3 linked regions of the Drosophila melanogaster genome follow. The protein of the gene in region 2 interacts with the protein of the main gene of each other region in a pairwise test. Each region holds a gene or a part of one and is shown on either strand. Other genes may lie near its edges.

What was found.
Region 1: the proteins of sun (region 2) and CG1894 interact in a two-hybrid assay, tested with the Drosophila melanogaster proteins (one large-scale study listed by BioGRID).
Region 3: the proteins of sun (region 2) and Cpn interact in a two-hybrid assay, tested with the Drosophila melanogaster proteins (one large-scale study listed by BioGRID).

The regions. Positions count from the first base shown.
Region 1 is NT_033777.3:28,482,453-28,486,208, forward strand, and holds CG1894 (uncharacterized protein), read left to right. Parts: upstream 1-2,104; 5' UTR 2,105-2,199; coding exon 2,200-2,304; intron 2,305-2,385; coding exon 2,386-3,546; 3' UTR 3,547-3,610; downstream 3,611-3,756.
Region 2 is NC_004354.4:15,847,612-15,851,367, reverse strand, and holds sun (stunted), read left to right. Parts: upstream 1-2,109; 5' UTR 2,110-2,203; coding exon 2,204-2,232; intron 2,233-2,351; coding exon 2,352-2,482; intron 2,483-3,020; coding exon of another isoform or gene 3,021-3,034; exon of another isoform or gene 3,035-3,070; intron 3,071-3,363; coding exon 3,364-3,389; 3' UTR 3,390-3,509; downstream 3,510-3,756. Other genes in the region: UBL3 (ubiquitin like 3), read left to right, coding at 172-280, 658-822, 940-1,004. UniProt on the Drosophila melanogaster protein: Activates the G-protein coupled receptor mth in vitro, leading to increased intracellular calcium ion levels.
Region 3 is NT_033777.3:12,164,580-12,168,335, reverse strand, and holds the start of Cpn (calphotin), read left to right. Parts: upstream 1-2,149; 5' UTR 2,150-2,215; intron 2,216-2,662; 5' UTR 2,663-2,785; coding exon 2,786-3,756. UniProt on the Drosophila melanogaster protein: Plays important roles in both rhabdomere development and in photoreceptor cell survival. Might function as a calcium-sequestering 'sponge' to regulate the amount of free cytoplasmic calcium. It binds 0.3 mole of Ca(2+) per mole of protein.

The sequences.
Region 1 (3,756 bases), on a different chromosome or scaffold from region 2:
AAATAGCTTCCAAATTCCTGTGGACTCGTGCGATTTGATATGGCTGCAACCACAACTGAGATTGACCTGTGCTTTATTACTTCAAAAATGCGGCATTTGGCTAATGCTCAAAGGAATCGATCGAGTCCATGCCGGCGATGATGGCGCATCGCTGGCCAATTATACGGCTTTGAGGGCATCAGTTTGGGATTGGACCGTTCCTCAGGCGTCGACTCGTTAAGTATCCGCAAAGGATGCAATCTCTGCCAGTTACTGAAATTCGGCTTTGTGGCAGACAAAACTGCATTGAAGTTGTTGCGGTTACGGCTCGACTGCCTAGTTGCCTAGTTGCCCGACTGCATGGATGCCATGGCAATTGGCCAACGCAGGCGTCGTCTTAAAGTAGGCCCAGTTTATTAATTAACGCAACCCGACCGACCACTATTCCGGCTTTGCATCCGGCAGCCCAGCAGAGACGCCTGACCACACTTGGTTTGATTCCAACCGGATGGTAACTTGGAACTGGGTATTCAGTGCACACTGGCATGCATATTGAAGTGCGATTGCCGGGCTCTGGGCATGCTCCTCCTGCATCAATTATGGGCATTCAAAACTGTTTGTAACCATTTTCCAAATGTTCAGCTGGCTAAACAAAAGCCCGTCCAAACCCACCCAACACTACGTGGCCCCATGGAAACCGTTTCGCAAAGCCCATTGGGAGCCCAGCGCTTATCTTCACCGTACAGGTCAAGGGCTAATAGGTATCGATCCAGAGCTACCAGCCCAAACATTGGCCTTAATATTTTTATAAGACTGATGGTATCGAGTAATAACAAGGAACCAAAAAGCTTGGAGGCGTGAAATTAAGCTGGGATTAGAATATTGTATATGTATATATACATTAACAAGAAGCTGTGCTGTGCTTTAAACATATCGAAATAACAAAAGAATTTTTATTAAAAATATTTAAGCTTCAAGTTAGCTCGACTTCTTTGGCCTGTTTGAATAGTTCTGCACACACCTACGACTCTACGGCTCTAATTAGGGAGTATGACTCCGGGGCCCAGGAACCTCCTTTCAGTTGACTTCGTTTTCAAAGGCATTCCCCGCATCATTTAAAAGTTATTAAGCACAAATGCAAACAGACGTTCGAGTTGTCTCGAAGCCATGGTTGTGTTTATCAAACTTGTGTGACGTAGATAAATATGCAGTGGGGGCACGTTTCAAGCGGAAACGAAGCAGCACAGCAATAAAAAGTGTTTGATTTTAATGAGATTCGAAGTATGTATATAATTTTAATCATTTTTGTGTAATATTCTCTAGTAGAGACATGACATTTTTATATTTCTGCAGCGCATAGATATTTTGCAGCACAAAGCTATATATCAAATCGCTATAATATTTTTACGTGTACGCAAACAGAGACTCTTATAGAAAAGGCACACACACACAGACACACGCACATATGCAGAGTGAAGTCAATAAATTCTCATTTCGCTGGATGCGTGGAATATTTCACCTGCAAACAAAGTGTGCTCTTCGCTACTCTGCTCTCCGCAAACGCAATAATAAATACAAATAAAAACATGGCGCATAAAGATTACAGCCACCGCAAGCGAATGCTGTAGCAAAAGGAGCCAACTCATCCAGGAGCTTTCCATCCTGCTAGAACCCCCCCCCCCCCCCCATCCCGCCATCCACACACTCTCAATCCAATCTATATTAAGTATACGCACCGTTTGAACCATGCATTTTAATGATGTCTCCCGTTGGCCCGGGCTCGTCACCTAATCTTTCGCCCGGTCTCCTGGCCTCTCGCCCTCACATCCACCTGCTGTGACGACGTAAATGTTCATTTATTTTAATTAGTATTGAGCCGGGTTGTCCCTGCACTGGCGTCTTCGATAGATCAAGGTAGCAGGGTGTGGCGTAGGACTGAGATTATATCCCGAAATGTTTTCTCACTGAAAAAAATGTATACAACTTATTGTATAATATATATTTTTGCTCAATATATGTTCAGAAAGTTAAATTGGAATTAAAATTTAAAAATAACTTTAATGCTTTGATATTGGTGCTTCCTTAGATGATTCGATTTTTTGACAACAAACTTTATCGTTTCATTATTGATATCACTAATCGATATCAAGCTAAATGTGTCATCACTAGTGAAAAACCACGCTTTCTAAAAAGGGTGAAATTCGCAATAGGAATTGACAAATGGACAAGGAAAACAGATCAGGTGACCATTTAAAGTATCAGCCGTTGGGCGATCAGGACGGGATAAGTTCGAAATTGCCGGACATTCCGAGAGCCCTGCAATTGGTAAGAACAATACTGGTCAAAGAATATCATATGAGGAATGAAAAACTGCTGATAATTTATTTTTTTTTTGCCACTCTTCAGACTAATGCCAAGGAATCCTCCGCGACTCGCGGTTTAGGCCAAAGTGCTTCTAAGTCCGAAATGGGGAAATCCCAGCTTCAGAACGATTCATCTCTTCAAAAAAACATTCAGGAAACTAAAACCATTACTGGATCGTGCATCGAAGCTCAAAGAATAGGGGCTACACCGAAGAAGCAATTGGAAGGCGTCAAGGAACCTAATATGATTTCTTTATTACACACTAATGCCAGTAGCAATGTGGATGATCGCCAGCGCCAGGAGACAATAGATAATGAAAAAAGTGATGTCCAGAAAGAGAAAGAGGACGCGAAAGTGAAAGTCATAAGAAACATCGAAAAGGTGCAATTTGGGCGTTACGAGATCGAGACCACGTCTTCCAGTCCCTATCCTGTAATAAACGACAAGGCGACCACCATTTACGTTTGTGAATTCTGCCTAAAATACATGTGCTTGCGGAAAAGTTACTCCTACCACCTATACGATTGCAAGAAGAGGTGTCCGCCGGGCAGCTTGTTATACCGAAAAGACAATATTTATATCTACGAGGTCGATGGCCATAAGGAGCAGCTGTATTGCCAGTGCCTCTGCCTAATGTCAAAGCTCTTTCTGGAAAACAAGAAAATTCTTTACAGCTCGAGTTCGTTCTTGTTTTATATCCTGTGTTTGAAGGACAAGGATGGCGAGCACTTTGCAGGTTACTTCGCCAGGGAGAAGACTATGCTGAATATCAACCTGAATTGCATCCTTGTTTTACCGCCCTATATGCGCAAGGGATACGGAAAGTTGTTGATTGATCTGAGCTACGAGATCTCTCGCAGGGAGGCATGCATCGGAGGTCCCAAGAAGCCGCTGTCGAAAGTTGCCAGACTTTGTTACCTCAGCTATTGGGGCCACATCCTCCTCAATCTGCTGAGGCACCACTCATCACCGGACCTGGTGACCATCGAAGAGCTGAGCAAAGCGACTGGCTTCCGCGAGGAGGACATAATAAGCACTTTAGAATTTATGGGGATGACGAAGTACTACAAGGTTGACCACATCATGTTCTACACTACTTCATCGATAATTGAAGATCGCCGTGGGCTCGCACAGTTTAAAAAGCCGAGGTTGACCATTCACAGGAATCGCCTCTCCTGGAAGACACCCACAGGACGAAAGTAGAACATTTTCATGATATATGTATGCCACTTTGTATGCCAACAATTTACACTAGTAAACTGATTGCACTCATCTACAAGAATGTCCTTATCTTATTTTATTTTTTGCGGTGTACCTTAGACAGTCTAAAATAAAAATCACATTAGCGAGATAATCAAAATTCAAGGCCTGCGGAAATTAGGTAAAATCCAGGTATTAATGAAAAATCGATGA
Region 2 (3,756 bases):
TTTATATATATATAAATCAGCTATCAGATTTATATCAATTTAGTTGAGTAGCTTTAAATCTTTTTGGCAGGACTTACATTTAATTTCATTGAGCTCTCATAAAAAAACGATATACTATAAACTATATCATATAAAAGAATTTAATTGCAATAATATCCGTTTGCTTTTCAGATTAACCTACGCCTCATTCTTGTTAGTGGTAAAACAAAAGAGTTTATTTTTAGCCCTTCAGATTCCGCAGGTGATATTGCACAAACAGTATTTGATAATTGGCCAGAAGGTGAGTGAATTTAGTGTTAAGTTTGTCGGCGAATGATTTTTAATCACTAACGATTAAGTATGTAAGCTACGTAATACAAATAGAGTGAAATATACATATTTCTTCTAAATGGCATGCTATTGACCCTTTCGCGTGAACTGCATTTATTTTGAGAACGCTTTAATCATAGTCACAAGGATACAAGGATACAACCCACGAAATATTTAATATTTATGGCATCTATTGGATATTTCAAATAAATGCGACTTTTGAAGTTTGTTTAAATATTGTCAGCTTGTTGGCCTCTAAAATCAATTCTTTCTTAGTTGTTTTGCTTTTAGAGTTAGACTTTTGATGCGAAAACCCATGTAATACATTATTGTGCATATATCTTGCAGATTGGACCCACGAAACTGTGTCGAAAGCCGAAATCTTGCGCTTAATTTATCAAGGTCGTTTTCTTCATTGCAATGTAACCTTAGGAGCACTGGGACTTCCATTAGGCAAAACGACTGTTATGCATTTAGTGCCACGTGATAATTTGCCAGAGCCCAATTCACAAGGTAGGTTTTCAAAAAAAAAAAAAAAAAAGAAATATGGTTTCAATTATAAAGAGCTGCTCAAATTTAAATTCGCAATGCATACGAAAAACATCTTACTGAATTTTCCTCCTCTTTTAGATCAAAGACAAAATAGTAAAGGCGGTTCTGGACGATGCTGTTCGACAAATTGCTCTATTTTGTAACTAAATTATTATATAATAGCGTAATATTTAAACTAATTTGCATTAAAAGAAAAAAGAAAAAAAAAAAAACACCCACAACCGAAATAAAAACAAATATGAATGTATAAATTACATTTTTGTGCAGTCAGAAGTATATTTATTAAACTATAATAATGTATGTCTGGATCAACAAGGCGCTTTGTTTCAACTATTAATGTACATACAATATATATTTTATATATATACCACACAGGAATTCATGAGCATGTGCAAAATGCGTATACTCTGTATTAAAGTTGCTAGACTGCATATTTATAACATGTAATATACGAATACAATGCTAATTGCTTTTAGAAACCGGACTTGTTAACCTAATTAGAGAATGGGTAATTACAACACTTATTTCAAATATGTCGAAAATATTGAAAACTAATTATGTGCAAGAATAAGTAATTTTCCCATTGCGTTCTGCTTTTAAGTGTGCGTCTACCGAAAAACTAAATAAAATCAGCAATTACTTGTCAGATCGATTCTTTAATGCGTTAAAGAATATTAAAGAAATTTTTGTTCTGTATATATACACATTTAATTAGAACTTAAGTGTTTTCTTCTGTTAAGTTTTAAAATATTATCTGTAAAGTCTAACTTAAAGTCAATGATAAATAAATAATCTAATATATCCTTAGCTTATCCTATTTTGGGTGCATTGGTGGTTATTTGATTAATTAGCCTAGAACTAAAAACAAATTTCAAGGAAAATTGGGGAATATTTTTTTTAAGTTGATGGTTTAATGTAACAATTTTTCTTGAAATGCTTTATGCAAGGCACGTTAAACAATGTCTGCTTAATTATTTGTGTAGGCATGAATAAGTAACAAGCTTCGTTCTTTCGAATAAAACAGTTTGGCATATCCATATTTATTAGGGTTTTTCCCAAAGGAAGAAAAATAAGTAAATTAGATTTTTAAATATTGAAAAGTTTGAGTTTGGATATCGATAACAAATGTTACTAACAGTGTGTATGTTCAATAACAGAAGTCACAGTCGTCGTCGCTATCTTGACGCGCGTAAGCTAGTATTTAAGGTATATGTGCGACAATCGACGGTATATTTCTGACTTAACTCTCAAAAACTAGTTGGCCACACTGACCGGATTCAGAAAGGGAATATCTTATATATTTTTTGTGTAGCGTGAATATATTTCGAATAAACCGATCACAATGACTGCCTGGAGAGCTGCCGGAATTACGTAAGCATTGTATAAGTGCCTGCCACACCAGCTGTGTTGTGGCAGCATTCTCATGCAAATAAAAACGCCTTTGCTGCCCGATTACATAACATAATTAATCCAAATATTACCGATTGCAGCTACATCCAATACTCCAACATCGCCGCTCGCATTTTGCGCGAGTCCTTGAAGACGGGACTGCGTGCGGATGCCGCCAAGCGCGACGCGAGCCATGTGAAGTTCACTCCCTGGGCAAATGGCAAGCCAGCTCGTACGTATCATAATACTTTAGACGGCCAAATAGCAGCCATTATATAAATTAACTCCGGATAATTCGAAATCCAAGGGGAAACCGTTATCAATGTGTTATTAGGAATGTTTCGAAGTCATCCACAAGTGGTTTCCACACGGTATTCTACCCAAAAGTTTCGGAAAAAAGCCCCGTTTCGAAATGGCAATGTGAAAAATACCGAAAAATGAACGGTTCACTCGTGTTCCCACTTTACTCCGAAAATGTTGCCAATTTACAGGCGTAATATCGCGTGTAAAAACTGTTCCCATCTATAGATATTCGTATATTATTGCATATATCATATATATTTGCAATCTGTTTAAATCCTGATCATCAACATTGAAGCGTTCATACTCATCCAAACCATTTCTAAAACTTTAATTTCAAAATTTTCGTAACTTATTGGAATATCGAAACAAAATTAGGCAAAATTGCTTACCATTCCTTCAAGACAAACGCTCCATAAAGTAATAGAATTTATGTTTCATATTGCGTCATATTTGAATATATTTTTCAGATGAAAGGGCTTAGGTGTTCCATCGTCAAATTAATAATTTAAAAACTGGCGTAAGTGCCTGCCGCGGCAGACAAAACCCAAATTATCCCAGCGTTCGCATTAAACTCAACGACAGTTTATGTATCTAACTTTGTTCCCAAAGTTTCTAACTACGCTTACAAGCTGATCTGCATGCAAATGCGATGTGTTTACATATAATATAATGTTTATATTAATATACATATATATATCCCAAAATTGCCCGCCCCAAAAGTTTACAAGCGACCAACTATTAACTATTTCTTTGTGATGAAAAACTATTATCCAAAGCAAATGCTGATTATTGCCATTTTTCTGTCCGCAGAGCGTCAAACCCAATCGGAATCCTAGATGCTTTTCAGTGGCCACTCGAGAATGATTCGCAACAACTAAGATCCGCCGAAGCTGCAATGTTGTAAAATCATGAAAAATAAATAAAATTAAATAAATGTAATTTATTTAAACACGATGATTTTAATTGTTCTTAAATGTGGCATTTATTTGGGCGTTCCGTTTAGAGATCGCGACCGATGAAACGGACTTCTAGCAAAGATTTAAATATAGACTCAATAGAATATTGTAATTTTGAAAAGAACTATTGGTCAGGTTCACCAGAAGCCTTTTAATTGGGATCAGTGATAGGTTTCTTGCTATAATTTTGTCAACGCATATTTGTATAGAATGATTTTATACACATAATGCTGAACCAATTGAATTG
Region 3 (3,756 bases), on a different chromosome or scaffold from region 2:
AACTACCAGCCATCACCCACACTACCGCCCCCACCAATCCCAATTGGATGGTCGAAAACACACCAACCAGCCCACCCCCCGCAAGCCAAGTGCAATTAAGCACGAAAAAACCAATCAAACTGGAAATAAATTGCGCCATAGTTGCAGCAGCCACACAGCGACCAGGGTTGCCATACGGCGCCGATTTTTGCGAATTTTTTTTGCCTAGCCAGCACTTTGTGTGCCCCTTCTGCGTGTGGGTGTTTTGGGTTTTTTGCGTTCGCCGGGGGTTTCCCTTTTTATTGTGGCCGCTGGGTGAAAATTGTTTGCATTGCATTCTCTGCTGATGCATGCGAATTGAGAAATATTTGCAATTTAGCAAAATACACCCGGAAGCGGCTCCGGATTGAAGCTTGAGCTCCTTTTGCCACATTTCGCAATTTCGATTTTCGCCCCGCATTTGTATTCATATTTGTATTTGGTTTTTCCAATCGCACACGGGCCCGACTTTCCACACTCTTACAGTGCGTGCAAAATGACGGCAATTAGGTGTATACGCTGCGCTGATTTATGTTTTTTTTTTTTTTTTGTAGTTGATCGCCTCACCTTCGAAAATAGCCAGGAATGCAATATCCATTGTTTCAGGGAATGGATTTCATCCGAGTATTGTTTTTCGGTATAAAACATTGTTTGAGAAATATTTGTAAAATATGACAAAAACTTCTATTCTATTGCTGGCAATTACAATTTGAGATCACTCATCAGTGACCACAGATTCGAAGAAAATCAAATGTATTTGTTGAGGTACGCAAACTCCTTCGCAGCTCAGATCAATTGTCGAGTTCAGTGATGCAGGAGGAGATAGAATAAAGTATAAATACAATTTGTATGCTTGATGTAATTTCATTTCCACTTATCTTGGTATTTTCTCTGCATTTTGCTTCATGCGATTGATTTATCGCACAGAAAATAATAGGCAGCCAATGTCTGTGCATCCTGTGAAAGGACTCGCTCTCGGCCTTCCAAGCATTCAATCCCTGAGCCGGGTTCAGTTTATATTCAAATGCTTACGCTTAAATGTCAATAATACGTGAAATTGAACTGCCAATTCAATCTTCACAACTACTCCGCATCGCTCCTCCACTTCTCCAGTGAAATCATTTCCATATAAGCGTTTTCCCATCTCGTCTATTTATATATATGTATGTATTTCTTTTCTTTTCGTTCGCAACTCTTTTTATTTTCCATCCTGCGAGAAAAATTCTTTCTGTTCATATGTGGAAAAACTATTTGCAAAAGTCTCAAGTGTGCTCGGTTCCCGGCCAGCAGAGGGGCAAGTGAGGCGAAGGTGTAGGTGGACGTGTTGGTGTTGGACTTTTTAAAACGACGCCTGCAAATTGTACGCAGATCACATTACACTTGCTCCAACGGACGGCATGTGCAACTGCCGGCTGCCTCTGTGGATTGCTTTACATTTGGCTGCACTTCCTACCCGGCATTCACTCGAAAAATTGAAAGATTTATTTCTTAGTTCTTTGCGATTACATTTCCACCGAGCTAATGTGTTCCGATCCAACGGCTACGTAGTGGCAGTTTGTCAACTGTCATTGCATCAGACATTGAATGGGCCACGATAGCAAATGGATTGTGGAGGGTCGGGTGAGGGCGGGGCAGTGCGGGGCAGCGCGGGAACCTGTCGCATTTTGTTGACAACTACATTGCAAATACGGCAAAGTAATCAGTATTGTGTAAATAACCAGTTATGTGTCTGCGAGTGCAGCTGACAAAGCGAGTGGTAAGCGATATGCACTGGATCGCGAATAAATTCTTGAAAGCGTTTCCCCGATTTATCTACCCGATGCATTTGGCAAGATGCGAACGGAATCGATAATCGAATAATATGCGAATATCACTCATACGCAGTGGTGGGCGCCAACGCATGTAGCACACTTTTCAGCGCCAAATGTTTCCTCGTGCGAGCCGGAACAAATTTAATATGTGGCTAAGGTCAGCTGATAAGCACCTTAGTGTCTGGGAATTGGAAAAACGCAAAAAGCACTTGAAACTATGCGTATACTTTCTGCGCTCAATGGGCAGTTGTCGGACTTCTGACCGAAGGTAAACCAATGAAAAGAGGTAAAAATGTCCAAGAAAACTGAGTCAACGGGCCAGTTAAACACCGTTTTTCTCATCGGCAAGTCGGTCGCTGTTTAAAACTATTCAACAAATTAAATTGGTTAATAATATTGAAAATATTCAAAAGGATTGACTTACCTAAGAGGCAGTTCCTAATAGTTGACCATTTCATTGCTGACCGCTTATTTTCGAATTTTTGAACGAAATTGTGCAAGTGCCTTGTTTTCTCTTACATAATTTAGCAACTACAGTTTTGTAAAAGAAAAATATATTTCGAATAGACGTCAGAAGCAAGAGACTAGTTAACTCAATTGCTCTTACTTTTACTTCTCATGTAGTGAAGACAATTCTAATCTCATTTAATCAATGTAATTTTATTGTATAGATATTTGAATCAGTATTTTCCGGAGAACTTTTATTCTTATTTTTCTCATTCTTACGTGGTTTCTCATCGATTTAATTTTATTTAAGACAATGGCCTAAATCATGGTCAGATCCAGCCTTGCCATGTCTCATGTTTTTCTCGTTTTCATTCCTCTGTTTTCAGTTGTCTTCTGACCATGAAAAGCTGGCCATGAAACATTTTTGCAACTAAGCATTGGACAAGGCACAATCCGCCCAAAAGGAAAAAACGGATTAACTTTTATGTGAAAGTGGGCAAAGGATAGACATGGAACCAGGAACCATTCCATCGCCTGTTTCAGCACCAGTTGCTGCGCCTGTGACGCCATCAGCAGTGGCTGCCCCTGTCCAAGTAGTAAGTCCTGCGGCAGTGGCTCCCGCACCAGCGGCACCGATTGCAGTCACTCCAGTTGCTCCACCGCCCACCCTTGCAAGTGTGCAACCGGCAACAGTTACTATTCCAGCTCCAGCTCCAATTGCTGCCGCATCCGTCGCTCCTGTCGCATCTGTGGCGCCTCCAGTTGTTGCAGCTCCAACTCCGCCGGCAGCAAGTCCAGTTTCAACACCACCCGTTGCTGTTGCTCAGATTCCGGTCGCTGTTTCAGCACCAGTGGCACCTCCCGTTGCTGCAACACCCACTCCTGTTGCCCCAATTCCTGTAGCTGCGCCTGTGATAGCGACACCACCTGTTGCTGCCTCTGCCCCCACTCCGGCTGCCGTGACTCCCGTTGTTTCGCCTGTGATCGCCACACCACCTGTGGTTCCCGCTAACACCACGGTTCCCGTTGCAGCACCTGTAGCTGCTGTACCAGCTGCTGTTCCTGTTGTTGCCCCAGTTCTTGCGCCTGCCGTTGCTCCTGCAGTTGCCCCCGTCGTCGCCGAGACTCCAGCTCCACCACCTGTTGCTGAGATTCCGGTTGCAACCATACCGGAGTGCGTTGCACCTCTCATCCCCGAGGTTTCCGTCGTGGCAACGAAACCACTAGCTGCAGCTGAGCCAGTGGTCGTTGCTCCACCGGCTACTGAAACCCCAGTCGTTGCTCCGGCTGCAGCTTCCCCCCATGTGTCGGTTGCACCAGCTGTGGAGACCGCAGTGGTCGCTCCTGTAAGTGCTTCGACTGAGCCCCCGGTAGCTGCTGCGACTCTAACAACTGCACCAGAAACGCCAGCCCTTGCTCCAGTCGTTGCCGAGTCCCAAGTTGCTGCGAATACTGTTGTAGCTACACCTCCTACTCCAGC